Linked DNA regions of Oreochromis niloticus. The protein of the gene in region 2 purifies or fractionates together with the protein of the main gene of each other region. This does not show direct contact. Links are inferred from orthologs where the notes say so. Each region holds a gene or a part of one and is shown on either strand. Other genes may lie near its edges.

Region 1 (7,615 bases), on a different chromosome or scaffold from region 2:
GAGGGCGGCCCAGGAGGTAATAATAAAGAGAGCTGATGTGTATCTGGCCTCCTGCACTGACAGTTTCCTGCTCATGTAAATGTTCGGGCAGCTGATCCCCTTTACTCGGAGTGTAGAGCAGGGGTTCCCCACAGAGAGCCTTTGTAATGACTGACCCAACACCCTGTCATGCTACTCACTTTGGGAGTGCTCTTTCAATACCCAGTACAGTGGTCTCCAGCCTCACTATATAAAGGAGAGAAACCTCATTAGTTTTATCATGCACACCTGTCCCTCCAACCCCCCTGGCACTGCCCCTTGAGCTCACTGCACCACCCTCCCCTGCAGCTGAGGCAGGGACCACGCCTCCGCCACAGCCTTCTTTACCTGTACGAACGCTGCCTGACACTGCTCCGTCCACTGGACCAGATCTGGGGCGAGATCAGTCAAGGGGCTGATCAGGTCTGTGAAGCCTGGCATAAACTGGCAGTAGTACCCAGCCAGCCCGTGGTTAAATCCAGTGTTGTGAAAAAACGAGCAGTGCGTACCTGGTCCAGGAGCTCGGCTCCCCTTGCTTTCACTCTGTCTTTCCTCACTGCAGACTCCTATGGGAGTCACTGACAAACTTATGTTTACAGCTAGATAGCGCAATGAAAAAACACCTCTAAGTGCTGGGTGAATCCTACAGAACTAGACATGCAGTATAGAATGAAAATATACATTAGGCACTATTCTCAGGAACCAAGAATGCCTGCGGTGAAAATTCTGGCTTCGAGGTAAACCAGTACGAAACAAACATTTAAAGACTACATTTTATGAATATCAAAGATAAAGTTATCCATGAGAAAGAAAAATACACTCCTCAAAACGTGAAGTATAAACCGGAAACATCAACAGTTCCCCTAGATATATTTTTCTTACTTGGTTATCGTCTTAATGTAAGTCCCATGTGACCCCATCATGAATAATCCACAGCCGGGCTGGGTGCAGCAGGTCGAATCGGACCCCTTTGACTCCTCTGAGCTAGCGGCAGCTGTTTGCAAAGGCTGCATGTGCTCGCGCCGTCTTGGCGGGATAATCGGTGAAAACCGAGATGGTCATATTGTTCACCTTGATCCACTGAAGCTCCCTTGCCCTCGAAAGGATTTTAACACAGTCAGTGTAGTAATGTAGTTAGCTACTATGGCACAGGGCCGCTCTTGTGTCTTGGGCTTGGGAGCCAGAGTACGGTGAGCGCGATCTAGCAGCGGCTCCTCTGGGAGGTCAAAGGCCTCCTTTAGCAACTGCGAATCGGCATCCGTGGATGCTGACAATGGGTCGTCTTTCAGAACACCAATGATGCGGATGTTTTGACACCTGGACTCCAAATCGTCACATTTATCCTCCAACTTGGCCACCGCCTTAGTTAGATGGTCCACTTTTCTCTGGAGGCTGATGATGTCGTCAGTACAGGTGGACAGGGATCGCTGCATCTCGGTAACCGTTACCTTTAGTTAGGTGAAACTCTCCTACTCTACTTTGAGAGCACAGACACGGCTACTATCGGCAGCCTGGGCCCCAGTCGCCAACTCAGGACAGGTCAAGGGCTCATCAGGAGAGGCTGCAGGCGAGGCTGGATCAAGTTTCCTCATTTAGTCGGCTTTGGTGGCATTTTAGTGACCAAAATATAAAAGTTTACAATTGTAAAAGGACTTAGATATTGCTTGGGGTCGAGTCAGAGAAAAAGTGCTCAGTAATAATTGAAAAAAACCACCCAACTCTGCAGGAGCTCACCGAAACGCTACTCAGACCAAACCGCCATTAGCTGGAGTCCAGCTCTGTTTACGATACAAGATATTTTCCATTGAGTGGGCCCTCTTGTTGGAACGGCTCCACCAGCTCAGCTGTCGGTCTGAATAGGGACTAATGGAAAAGGGACTTAGGCTACGTCCACACTAATGCGTTTTCGTTTGAAAATGCATAGTTTTTTCTCCGTTTTGGCCAACCGTCCACACTGAGACGGCGCTTTCCCCAAGGAAAACGAAGCGTTTTGAAAACGCTCTCGAAAAGGAATACATTTGAAGACGGTGCGTTTGCGTCACAGTGTGGACAGTGAAAACGGAGACTTTCTAAAGCGATGACGCATTCTCACTCGCTTTTGCAACTTTGTACTTTTGTGTTACTCGCAGCAACAACTCCACCTCATTGTTAGTCCATTTAAAAAACTCGGTGCTTTTCCTCGACATTCTGCCGCGACGTTTCAAAGAGCCGGAAAGTAAATGAACGGCAGACAGAAATGAGGCAGGCCGAATCTTCTTGCGCTTCACGCATGTGCTAGACTGGAACCTAAGTATTTTTAGCCGTTTCAATGTGGATGCACAACTCTGTGAAAAAGACTGAAAACGCTAGTGTGGATGTGAAGCATTTTCAGACGAAAACGCCGTTTTCAAATCTATCTGGGCTAGTGTGGACGTAGTCTTAGGCATCCTTGGCCACCTTCAGGCACTGCTTCACCTCCTGCTGTGCTGACTTGATAACTGTCCTGTCCTTGGTTCTGAAGGCCTCCTTCTTCCTGCTGAGGACAGCTTTGACACCCTCTGTTATCCACAGTTTGATGTTGGATTTGGACTCGTATGAAAAGGGGAAAAAATTCAGTTTAAAATATTGAGCCAATGCCAAATAATAACGTTGGGTTTGTAACACTCATTCCTTCAGCACTCTTTAAAGGTTGAATTTCCCGTGTTGGCTGGTAATAACTAGCTCAATGGATTAGTTCACTCAACATATTGTGACAGGATGACATCATGTAAAAAACTAGCATCTATTTTTGTCTTTCATCAGTGACCCAGTCAGCTACTCTCCAGCTGCACTATTTTCCCACCAAAGATTTTATTTATTTATTTTCTATTTTTGTTTCCGCTCAAGTCCCCGCAGGAAAAATGACATCAGCGCTTCTCACGCTCTTTATGCCTTTTTCTTCTGAGCTGTCCCTCTCTTTCTCTCCTACTCTCAGTATTTCCCTCATGTGGATTGTGGAAACATTGTTGGTTTAGTTCATAACCTGATCTCTCCATATCCAGCACATGATGGCTCACACTACAATATTACTGATTTTACAGTATTGTGATGCAGCCATGTACAACAAAGAGACAACAAGACAGCTCTTCTTATGACTTTACAAAAAGTTTTGATTTTTTTGATTTTTTTTCTTTTTTTTCAAAGTCCATCTGCTGTGTTAGTCAGCCTCCCCTGACACCACACGGCCCCCAGCAGACCCATGGCTGATTTCCTCTCCCAGTTAGGGGGGTGGGGCTGACCAACACAGCAGATCTCCATCAGCTAATCATCCCTCCTCTCTTTAAGTCGGCTGTTGCGAGCAGTGCTGGACTGAGCTGGAGTGTGACAGCTGGAAAGCTGCACAAACAGACTGATAGGTCCTTCTGTTACAAGCATAGAGCATATTATTGGTCTCCGGTCCTTTGAATGTTGAATCAGTCTAAAGAAGTGGGCATCGTACTGGATTCACTTTATCCGGCGAGGATCGCTCTGATTTTGAAACAGAACTGTGACCCTACTTTCATCTCATAGTACAAACCTGTATCTCTCCTTTCAGTCTAAGCAAAAACCAGGATCTAATCATCTGAAAACTTATACTGCCAAAATCATACTTCTGGATCAGACAAAGTTCATACCCAGTGGGCATATTCATTTCAACATGCAGAGACTCTTTGGTATCATCCATATCCCTGCTCACAGCAGGGAGGATTCAGTTGTATCTCTCTTTGTGCCGAGAAGGCTTTTGCTCAAGTTGAACGGCCTTTTGGTCGACGACTTTTCCCCTCTTCCTGTATCATTTGGGGTGGTTGGAACAAGTGGTGTAAAAGATCATTATGATGCTCGAGCCATTTCCTTATCAAGGCTGAGTGGAACTGAGTCTACACCCAGTCTTTGGCTAAAATCTTGCATATCTGAGGCACAGCTGTAGGAAGTGATAGATTTCTGGCTGATCTTTATGAGTGGCCATTGCTCTGTCTCTCTCTCTTTCTGCCTGGGAATTTTTACAGGTAGCTTGTGACATCTATGTAACACACAGAGATTCATTCAACATTCATTTAGGATGGATGGATTGATGCAGGCTGTAATTAAATTACTTCAAACACAGAGCACCAACTTTTTCTTCAGTTTGCCTTCTTTGTCTGCTTGTGGCTGGTTGCTTTATCCTGTTGATGGTGTGGCCAGTTGTCCCAGTCAGCACAGGGAATCCCATTATTTTAAACATTTGATCATGCTGCTTCAGCAAAGTTCTTCCAGTTATACAAGAATAGCAGCAATTTCCCAACCTTAGAGTTAAATGATACTCAGAGCAATTAGATTTCCAGGCTATTGCACTGACCTCTGCTCGAGTACATATGTGTTTTTAGAAAAGAGGTAACGTGCAAGACCCTGAAAATTGGTATGTGGGGGAGGCGGGGGTGAGCACTCTGCTGTGCTTCATATACTAAACTAAATGGTAAATGGCCTGTATTTGTATAGCGCTTTACTTAGTCCCTATGGACCCCAAAGCGCTTTACACTACATTCAGTCATCCACCCATTCACAACAGGTGATGGCAAGCTACATTGTAGCCACGGCTGCCCTGGGGTGCACTGACAGAGGCGAGGTTTTACCAAATGGGGCTATTTAATTTTACCATCAGCTTTGATAGCTTTCTGCCTAAACCCTAAACTGGATAAGCAGATAAGAAGATGAATGTATGTGGGGACTTTTATCTATAGTAAATTAAAAGTTAATGACATGTGAAAGAAAAACTAATGCTAACTCATTTCGATATAAAATGGGAAAGGGATACGCCACATAAACTACATTACCCATAAGCTCTTAGAACGGAACCGCACAGAGAGCTCATTTATTGGCTGAAGAGCTGCAGCGGTAATCACGTGACTGCCGTCATCCGGGTAGCCATGGTTGTATATAAAGACCCGCTGTGGGGGGGAGGGGGTCTAGTTCAAACAACAGTCGATATTCAGTGCAGACGGAGGATATTATTTTGGCTGCGGAGTCAGAGTTTCTTTGTAAGTTTTTAAATATGGTACGTATTACATGTCGTATTAACGAAACATTATAACGACACACTCTGTTTAGGTAGTTTGTTTGAAACAAATCTTAATTTGGTAGCGTTGCATTTTCTTTATTAGTTAACAGTTGGCCGCTAGCATTGGCTGGTGTAGTGGATTAGCATGCTAAATACCCACTGGCTTCACTGGGGAAGCGCTAGCATGGCTAGCGAATATTAAGCGGACCTTAAGTTAATGTTGAGCTACAATAAGGCGCGTTTCGGCGGAGGCACACTAACAGTACTGGTGTTTTACAGGCTGGTGGTAAAGCTGGTAAAGACTCTGGAAAGACCAAGACCAAAGCGATTTCGCGCTCTCAGAGAGCAGGACTGCAGGTTTGTCCCCAAATTTCATTCATTTTCTCGGTTGCGCAAGCACGCGCTATTAGCCAAAAGTCAGTGGTTCTTTGTCGGTGGCGGGCTCTCATCGAGCGGCCAGCACGGCTTTGCTTCTGTTCACTCGTGTCACATTATCCCCGCAGTTCCCGGTAGGCCGTATCCACAGACACCTCAAGTCCAGAACAACGAGCCACGGCAGAGTAGGAGCCACCGCGGCGGTGTACAGCGCGGCTATTCTCGAATACCTTACTGCTGAGGTGACCCTAAGCTCCGTTTATCTTGCACTTCGTTGCTTGAGGTGTTGATCTTTTTGTAAAGGCTGTGTCTCTTTCAGGTTCTAGAGTTGGCAGGAAATGCATCAAAGGACCTTAAAGTAAAGCGTATAACCCCACGCCACTTGCAGCTGGCTATTAGAGGAGATGAAGAGCTGGATTCACTTATCAAGGCCACTATTGCAGGCGGAGGTACGAACATTACAGAGAACTGTGTGATGGTCTTATACTCCCGTACTGTAGTGGTTTACACATTTTGTTGAGGCACAAATCCCTTTTGTGTTGCATCTGGTGTAAAACTGTAACATCAACACTGTTGTGGCAACTCTGTTACAAGGGAGCAGCTGAAAGTGGTTACTGAAATGAAAACTTAACCGTTCAAGTATATAAACTGTTATAACATTTATTTTTTCCAGGCGTGATCCCGCACATCCACAAATCTCTGATCGGGAAGAAGGGCCAGCAGAAGACTGTATAACCTGAAGTGTTCAGCAAGTTGTGCCATCTCAGGATGAAGTCTGCATCAAGTGGTTAAATGTCTTAGATTAGTAATCTTACATTATTTTATGGTAGTGTGCATTTACTACTCTGGGTGGGGTTTGTTTTTGGGTTTTTTGTTTTTTTTAATAGTGGGCCCCTCCCCTCTCCTGCAGGTTTTTGGGGGTGGGGGGCGGCTCCAGCCGGCTTGTCTTGGATGTATACGTGTATTTGGCCTTTCTGTTTTTAATCTTCACAGCTTTGAAAGGAGCTCACAGCCACCAAACCTAGTCGATACGGAGTACAGGATGTGCATAGCTTTTGTGAAAACTCAAGATGTGCTTGTGCTTTGTATGTACCTTTAATGCAGACCATCCATTTCAGCCTTGTATTTCAAAGCATGTTCATTCTCTTTACCACTGGACTGTCATGGACCGGTTCATAACCTTGTTGGTATTTTTGGATTCCTGAATAAAGACTGGATTTGGCACAGTCTGAGTGTTTCCCCTAGTCTTTGTCTTATTCTCTTTGAACAGAGTGCTGTGACTTTCCTCTTAATCATGCAGTGATGTATGACTACAGGTGGCGTAATGTGAAGCTTTGGCTTTCATTCCACTTTTGTTCAGTTTTACACAAAATTGGAGGAATGCCAATGGGCTCGTTAGGTGAGCTGGCTACATGCAGTGTTTTAGATTTATTTTTTTAAATACTTGAGGTCTACTGAATATTCAAACTTATTTGCTAATATGCACTGAAATTCTCATGGGTGCAAATGACTGAAAAGTCAGAACTCCAATCTTTGGTGGTTGGAGTTGGTTCAAATTTTCAAAGCCAGCCAGACCTTTATTTGATTACATGGCCCAAGTACTGATGAATCCACGCACTACATCTGATGGCGGATCTTATATTTCTAAGTATGTCTAACACTTTCTTCACAACAAGGTGCTGGGTTTACATCCACGACCTGGCTGGGCCTTCCTTTATGGTTTGCATGGGTTCTTTGAGTATTTGGGCAGCCTCCTGCAGTTAGTGGGGTTGGGTAAATTAATCCTAGTTACCCACAGGTGTGACAGGTTGGTGACCTTTGCAGGGTGTACTCCACCTCTCACTCTGGCAGCTGGGATAGGCTCCAGCAACCCCTGTGACCCTGAACTGGAAAAGTTGAGTAGAAGAGGATGGATGGGCTTCTAAATGTCAGTGTGTTTTAGCCTTAACTTTAGATCCTCACTAGGTGGCACTATAACCCCACTACACTCCTATTGTGTGAAGTGCTAATTCATATATGAACCTCATATAAAACAAGCTTAAATTAACAGCTTTCAGAAGTACATATTCAGCATATAAGGGACCAAACAGACTTATGGGACAAACCAGTCAGTTATTTCCTCCTGTTGCAGCTTTTCATTAAACATGGTTGTCTCAAAATGGGTTTGACCTCCATGGGTAGTTTCCTCCT
Region 2 (8,110 bases):
TTGCATACATTTGCCATGTTGTGATATACTTATTCAGCATTAACACTTACTCCTAACACAGTTCACAAAAATGAAAAGACACAAACACAATTAAAAATACAAAACACCCCAGGGGTTGTGTGAGAGATTTTACCTTAATTACTTGTAGCGTTTACCTGCTAGCTTTATGATTTCTGCTATCCAGTACACCTTGGTGGAGAAGTTGGTATCAGAGTTGGGCACTTCAATCCTCACACCTACTTCAATATCTCCCCAACATGTTCCCATGGGGGCCTGAGGCACAGAAGTTATCAGCTATGATAATCATAGTATCATATCAGTGGTGACCATATTCTCAGCTCCAGCTACTTACATGCTTGAAACAGCTGACAGGAGCCCCCACCGTGTTACTGCTACAGATATACTGCCCCCAGTCAAAACTCTCTCCAGGGACCACTGACAGAAAGAACAATTAGTTTGTAGCTTGTGTACATCAAAAAGAGCAGAAATATGAGCCCCATCATGATTGCTTTTTCACAGCCTACCTGCTTTCAGTTTGGCCTGGTTCTGTTGACTTGCTTGGTACTGGGCATAAGCTGCCAACTTTGCCATGAGAGGCTGTTTCTGTAAGACTTTGGCCTTTTTTGTTGGTGGTTTGCCCTTGTAAAAATCAAAGCAGATGTTAATATTTACACAATACAAAATTATGAAACTACTATACTTTTTTATCAAAGATAATGAATTTACCTGGAGTCTTGCCAAGATGCTAGCTTTTTTAGAATTTGAGGAATAACTCCTAGAACAGGACACACTGCAGAAACGCTTGGTTTTGGAGTAAAAAGCATCTCGTACACCGACCATCCCACACATCTCACAGGTGGCTGTGAAAACAAACCGAAATACATCAGCAGTCTACAAATGGTAAATGGCATTTATAGTTATCTCCATAAGTATTTGGAAATTGACACAATTGCAATTTTTGCTCTGTACGTGGTAAATGGACTGGTTTTTATATAGCGCCTTTCTACTCTGAATACTAAAAGCTCTTTATAAATCTTTCCTCATTCACCCATTCACATCCAATCGCACAAGTACTTTTTTCTAGGCACTTTCTATGCAAGTTCTTCCTACCCAACATTCATACACATTCATTGTCCGGTGGATGCATCGGAGAACAACTTGGGGTTATTATCTTGGCCAAGGATATTTGGCATGTAGAATGGAGCAGAAGGGGACCGAGCCACCCCATCACTACAGTGGATTTTAAATTAACCAAATGTGATTTAAATGAAAATTTTTAGATTTAATTCAAAGGGTATACCAAAAGTAATGCATTAACTGTTTAGGTAATTCAATATCTTGGCCAAGGATATTTGCACATATGAACGTTGAGGAGCTGAGGCTCAAACTAATAATCGTTATACTTCCTGAGCCACAGCAGCTAAACGTAAACACTATTATTGTTCACTCACAGATTGATATTTAAGCAACACACACAAAAAAAGCCTCATGTACTGACCCATTCCAGCCTTTCCATCAGGGTAGGTGTAGACTTGTCCATTGTTCTTGATGATGGGCAGACTAGCAGGGATGGAGGGTACCACCTCATCCTCACTGTCGTCTGAGCTAGAGCTGCTGGTGGACTCCTCGCTGCAGCTGTCATAGCCATCAAACATCCCGAATGAGTCTCGTCGCTTACGATCTGAACGTGGGGTACGCTCAGCCTTTACAGATGAGGACACAACAGAGAAACACTGAATGAATTCATATGGATGCTTTTAGGGGTGTCTGTAGCTCAGGAGGTTCTCCTCTCCATTTCTCCATATAATGTAACACGTTTACTTTGGCGTTGTTCAGAGAAAGCAGTGAAATTGGTCTAAGAGAAGGTAACTGTTCAGAAAAACATATTTCATTCAAGTCATTTTATTTTACTCCATTCCCTTTTGAGTTATTTTACTTTACTAAAACTTAATAAAAGAAAAATAAAGCTGCATTCTCATACTTCTATTCTTTTAAGCTATTGCACTTTATTTTAACAGCTCCTTACAAATGTCCTTGTTCTGTGGTCCTGGAGTTTAGCCACACAAACTAGCCAAACATTTGTCTTTAGTGCAGAAGGGATGCCCAGTTTTTTTATTTATTTTTTAACAGTGGCGCTCTTCAAATTAAATATACCATGGTTTTTAATATTAATAAAATTAACCTTTTCTTCAAACATATAATGGTGAAAGCACAGCAATAATAGTGCCTTAAAATAATTCTTATTACTGTTAATCTCAATCTCTGTGCGAATCAATACAAAAAAACGAAAATACTTAAAACAACTTTTGTGAGGAAGCGAGAAAGGAAATATTGCTCTAAGGCAATCTTGGGCGGTAGGAAGGGGAAGAATGGGGGAGCAGACGCAGTCTGCAATAGTTGCAAAAGAAATGGTTTGATTGCAATGGTTGATGCAAAAAATAATAATGGACCAGAAGAAAATAAAGATTCAAATCTTCTTGGTTCACATTTTTATTATTTTTTATCAATATTCTTTCCATTTTTTATGAGCATTTGTAAGATGTTTTAGACAAATGTAAACAAAAATCAACTCCCTAAGCTAAATTTTAGTATTGAAGTGAAGCTGAACTTGTTTTAGTTGAAAGATGTATTTTTACAGTTCGCCTTTCATCATTAATGCATCATTTAGATTCAGGTAGGAAAATATCAGCGAACCATATCTGAGTCAGCATGACTTTTTTCGAAACGCCCAAAAATCTCTAAATAAATGAATAAATACTACGTGAAAGTATGGAAGTCTGATCACAGGATCCGGAACAATGCGTACATGTTGTCAAAGCTAGTTTACTTCCTCTTCACAGCATCTCAGCCCAAACATTACACTACGCGCAACAGTTTAACTTAAAAAAAATAAAAAATAAAAAAAATAAATCAAGACACCCATTTCCAAAGACATCCTTTGTAAGCTACATTTTACATACATATATACTGGAAAAGTAAACTAATACCGAAACTAAAATAAGGGACGGCCTTATTACAAACACCTCCTAAAGCTAAACAGCACTAGCAGAGCTAGCTAGCAGAACCTGTTTTTCCAGGGGGGGGGTTTCAGAACAAAGCCTTTTTACGTTCGTCTATTAACGTATAGTTGCAATAGTTAGACTTGTAAGAAAACTCTACTCGTTTTTTTTTTGAGAGAGAGCGAGAGAGAGAAAAGAAAGAGCTTTAGTATTATGTGTAGATGGGTGAGCCACTAGCTGGCTATCGTAAACAGATAACAACAAAGGAGGCGTACTACCCTGAACAATCCACTGGAATCGGAGGCTCGCGGCCCAAAAATGTTTCAAACCAACTCACCAAATCCCTTGCGTTTTCCATCAGCCCTTCATATAGCTGTTCTTCCAGTTACCTGCACTTCCTAATTCAAACAAATCCCCTCACCTGGGGTATAACCTAGCTTTGAATTTTAGTCGAAATACTACCAAGCAGGATATCAACAAATTACTCTGCAGCCTCTGCGCATGAGCGACCGTAACCTACTTTCATGTGATTGGTGGATCTGCAATGGAGGTCATCGACCGATGCAGACACAAAATAATAGACTTTGCAGAGTAACTGAATGAAAGGGGCCTTCAGAACAACTACAGATTATCAGTAGGTGTAAATACAGAAACGTTACAGTAATTTCTATGGTTTTGTTTTGTTTATAACTAGCTCCTGACTTTCATTTGGAATTTTTCCATATAAAAAGAACTTCAAAATAAAATACAGTAGTACATGTGAAGTAAAATAAATATTTTATTAGGATATAGTGACATTATTACATTTTCGAAGACAATCTTTCTTGTGAAAGATTTCTACAGTAGATGCAATATATTCACATTGAACAAAATCTGAGAACCACATTCAATAACACTTTAGCTTTTAACTTCCAAAATATATTCACTTAAGCCTGATAATGGGCATAGTTTTTTTGATATACATACAAGTACAGCAAGAAACTAAACAATATTAACCACAAACCAAATGAACTTTGCTCCAGTAATTCCAATCACAGTGCTTTTCAGTAATAATACTGGCATTCTAGATTTATTCTTTTCCCTGTTCCTTGAACACAAAATTTGGCAAAGCAGAACGAAACATTAAACAAAAAACAAAGAATTATTTGCTGAAGTAACAACAACAAAGTGATAATGGCTGGAAGAACTGCTGCACACTCATCAAGTAGGTAAGGCTTCAGGAAGAGGGTTTATGTAATCAAGTTTAGGTTTAGGTTAGGCAAAGCTCTACATCATCATTAGGGCTGATGCTGAGGAGTAGATGTTGAGGACTGCTAAAGAAAAGTTCATCATTTTTAGACATAATGGTTCACACAAGAGCGTTCACTAGCAAATGTTCAGAATCAGACATCAAACTGGGAGAAGATACCTTGGTTTTTTGAATATCTTTGGTCTCACAGCAACTCGTCCTCCACAACATCATCAACACTTCCTGATATAGAGGCAGCTTCTGAGGTGCAAGAAGGAAACACTCAAGTTAACAATGACTGTAACAGCAGCTTCAACTCTTTTTGTTTATCCACCATGGTACAAAAGCTTGACAGAGTCATGGTGACACTGTCCCTTTTGTTTCACTATGTTATATTTCCTGATTTGTTGGAGATAAACTACAAATTGCACTGAATACAAGTATTCTGAGCATTAGGGTCAAGTTAATTGATCCTAACCAAAATGTATATTGTTGAGTTCATTTCTTCTTGAGACACTTTAGAAAGTTGATTTAACAGAACTGCATTCCTGTTAATTTTCCACCACATGGGGGCATACACTACCTCTCTGTAGGTTTAAGAAGTGTCCCAAGTCAAGAATCTGATCCAATGTGGACATCACTTGGATATTCTATTGTATTTAGAAACCTAGATAACATTTCTACTTCAACATACAATCCCAGTAACATAAGGGTATGAGGGTTACTTTATGATCGCTTAAACATAGTCACTGGCAAATCTCAAATTACAGTTCCATGACAGAACTCACCTGATAAACTGATACAGGAAAGACTGAGCTCTGATGATGCTCCTATTACATCATCCTGTTGGAAGAATAAAAGTGATTAGCCGCTGTTAACCAGTTCTTCAAACTTTCAGAACAGAAGTAAGGGGATTACCTAATCTCTCAGGCATAAAGATAAGTTAAAATAATAATAATAAAAAATGACAGAGTACCTTGTCGGATACAGTTGGACAGAGATTATGAAGCGCTTTGAGGCGACTTTTGTGATTTGGCGCTATATAAATAAAATTGAATTGAATTGAATTGAATGGCATCAGTCTTGCAGCCTGCAAGTCATGGCTGCAAGTCAGGGTTGTTGTCAGTCGGTGGAGGTTAACTGAGGGAGTCTGGATTCCCAAAAATTAGAATTCCACAATCATCCAAGTAGTTTTGATCTATCTCTCTGTTTAGTGTTGATTTTTCCAGGATTTTTTCCCGCTGGCTTACAGATGTCCTGTTCAAGATTAAGTATATTGATACCCTATTTTTGTCCAGGAAGAAGTAAGAGACGCTGCAAGACACAAAAAGCAGAATCAGTAACTTACCAGCATCATCTGCAGACAGCCAAGATTGCAGCCCTCTTTTTTTCCATTCAAATCTTCATGGAAGATAACGGCATAGCCCAATCGTATAAGCTCCTCTCCAACATCCACAGTCTTTTTTACATGATATGCACATGGAAAGAGGAGACAGGGTAAAGGACAAACCAAATACAGGCTTATTAAAGTCTTATTATTAAGAAATAAAATCCTATCTAACCTTGCCCTCACTGTTGTCATAGAGCTTGACACTGGGCCATGAGGAGATTTCCGAGTGAGAGTAGCTGCACAGTTTGGCCTGCAGGGGTCTCCAAGAGGCACAATATGTCAGCCTCTCAAACTGATCCAGGGCTTCCTCAGTCCAAACCCCTCCTGCATGACAGGTTGATGGAGGAAAGAGACTGAAATAATCAAGAATTCAAGAACAATGCACTGCAGAATACTAAAAGACCTCAGTATATCCTCTGCATTGATTGTGCCACCGTAACATCATCACACAGTCAGTTTTATTTATGTTCCCCAGTAAGGTAAGTCTGAGTGATATAGCGAATGTAGTTTTTTCACTTATGATGGTTAAAATGGCTCTATTGTAACCATCGAGTATAAACTGCCATGGTTATATTAAGCTGTCTGCAGTTTTTTTTCTCCCACATGCTACAAATGCATCACTAATCCCACCTCCCCAGACGTTTTTCTACCTGGCACACTGCGCTGAGCATGCGCGTTTATATACTGCCAAATAGGAAAAAATATGGTGACAGTGAGAGTCTCAGACAAGCAAGGAAATGAGACTGTAACTGAACAGGAGCCAGACAAGATAGTTCCAAAGAGAAACAGCACTGGATCAATAATCTGGCAGTGGTTTGGATTTCGCAAGGAGGATGTCGAACCTGAATGTGGAACATGGTATTTAGTACTAGTGGAAATGTGGTCACATGTCACCAAGCTTCACTCAAACCTGGAGGTGTTGACAGGCTTGTGTTGTTGGCACAGAACTTACACACCTTAAACACTGATGAGAGTGTTCTTTTTCAGGAGTACAAGTCACAATCCTTCATTATACCTTAGCTTTGTGATTATTTTACCAATATGCGTGGTGTGTTTTGTTGTTTAAAATCTAGAACAGAAAGCGCAATCATTATTTAGGTTGTTTTGAGATGCTCTAATACCTGTGACATGACTGTTGTTGTTCAGTGGTTTTTCAGGCATTGTCTGAACTTGGAACAGTTTTCCATTTTACCACTTTTTGTTGTTTAAACTTCCTAGCACATATAGAGCCGATAGTTCTGAGACACTCTGATACCTCTGACAGTTTTTGGTGAATGGCTTTTATAGACATTAACTACACTTTTGTTTCTGTAGGTCATCACATTTTACAGTTTTTATATGCTATAAGCACAGAGAACACCTTTTTAATTTCAATTGTTTCACTTTGTCTCGTGAATTCTTGCTTACTTTTTTTGTTAAAGGGTTCGTGTTGACAACAGAAAGAGACATACTGTGAGAATATTGTCATTTGTGAAAAACTTCTGTGTGCAACTGATGGTTAAAATAAAACATATTTTTTGGCTATATCACAACACATGATATATACACGACCAGACAAAAGAACGCCAAAATGGTAATGCCAGTGGACGTGATATGAATTTCACTGCACAACACAGTGTGACAGGAGGTAAGCAGTGGGCATAAAAGTGCCCTTATGTCCTCATGTACCAGCAAGTGTGTGACAAAGTGTGTATGTGTGTGTGTGTTTGGGAAAGAGTGTGTATGTAAGAGAGAGGTGTAAGAAAGAGGGAAAGGTAGTGAAAGGGTAAGAGACAGTGAGTGAATGAGCAAGTGAGAGAGAGAGAAAAAGAAAGACAGTCATTGTCAAGATGAGAGCTTTACCTTTTGGCTTCACTCCTGCTAAGCTGCACTCAATAGCTTGAAATGGTAAACTGAGGAAGTCGCTCCTGAAAATTGCAGCATATGCAAAAGCTGTTAATAAGCCATGTCCTTTTTTATCCACATTACATCCAACATTTTACAGTGTGCAGTAGCAGTATGTCACATCACAAGTTCTTCCACAGTTCGATGAAGAGGTGTACAAAGCAACACTCACAGCATGAGCTAACATAGAAATGCAGAATTTAAAATTGTGTGCTCTTTAAAATCAGTAACTCACCAGCCTCCTCTGAAGACAGCCAGTCTGTCTCATGCTGATATGACGGTCACAAACAACAAAACTGCACTTGTACCAGGTTATATTTTTCTTTGTAATACTTCAATAAAAACATTGCTGATTGTAACCCATTTCAAAGTAATGTGTTACTCTTATCATTATAATCATCATATTTGTCTGTAAAGCAGTATTATTTTGCATTATTGTACTAAATCTCTTGATCACGCTAAAACTACTAATCAATTTATTTTGCTTTTACTTGCAAGTCAAGACAAAATAATTGGATAATAATTGTAAAATTCATAATAATCATAATAATTTTAGACCCCCATTCTGCATTTAGATTAGATTAGATAAAACTTTATTAATCCCTCGGG

The links. The genes of interacting proteins can lie anywhere in the genome.
Region 1: the proteins of mbtd1 (region 2) and histone H2A.Z purify together in Homo sapiens (affinity purification with mass spectrometry; 3 studies listed by BioGRID and IntAct, with this or other methods). This does not show direct contact. The link is inferred for Oreochromis niloticus from reciprocal best matches to the Homo sapiens genes MBTD1 and H2AZ1.

What each region holds. Positions count from the first base shown.
Region 1 is NC_031967.2:1,586,414-1,594,028, reverse strand, and holds histone H2A.Z, read left to right. Parts: upstream 1-4,902; 5' UTR 4,903-4,919; coding exon 4,920-5,030; exon of another isoform or gene 5,031-5,044; coding exon of another isoform or gene 5,045-5,047; intron 5,048-5,329; coding exon 5,330-5,407; intron 5,408-5,553; coding exon 5,554-5,667; intron 5,668-5,744; coding exon 5,745-5,874; intron 5,875-6,098; coding exon 6,099-6,160; 3' UTR 6,161-6,654; downstream 6,655-7,615. UniProt on the Homo sapiens protein: Variant histone H2A which replaces conventional H2A in a subset of nucleosomes. Nucleosomes wrap and compact DNA into chromatin, limiting DNA accessibility to the cellular machineries which require DNA as a template.
Region 2 is NC_031973.2:29,982,426-29,990,535, reverse strand, and holds the start of mbtd1 (MBT domain-containing protein 1), read right to left. Parts: upstream 3,519-8,110; 5' UTR 3,358-3,518; coding exon 3,337-3,357; intron 1,704-3,336; coding exon 1,499-1,703; intron 861-1,498; coding exon 727-860; intron 640-726; coding exon 525-639; intron 436-524; coding exon 353-435; intron 274-352; coding exon 156-273; intron 1-155. Other genes in the region: tdrkh (tudor and KH domain-containing protein), read right to left, coding at 4,433-4,488, 5,016-5,070, 5,576-5,686, 5,790-5,941, 7,460-7,524. UniProt on the Homo sapiens protein: Chromatin reader component of the NuA4 histone acetyltransferase complex, a multiprotein complex involved in transcriptional activation of select genes principally by acetylation of nucleosomal histones H4 and H2A.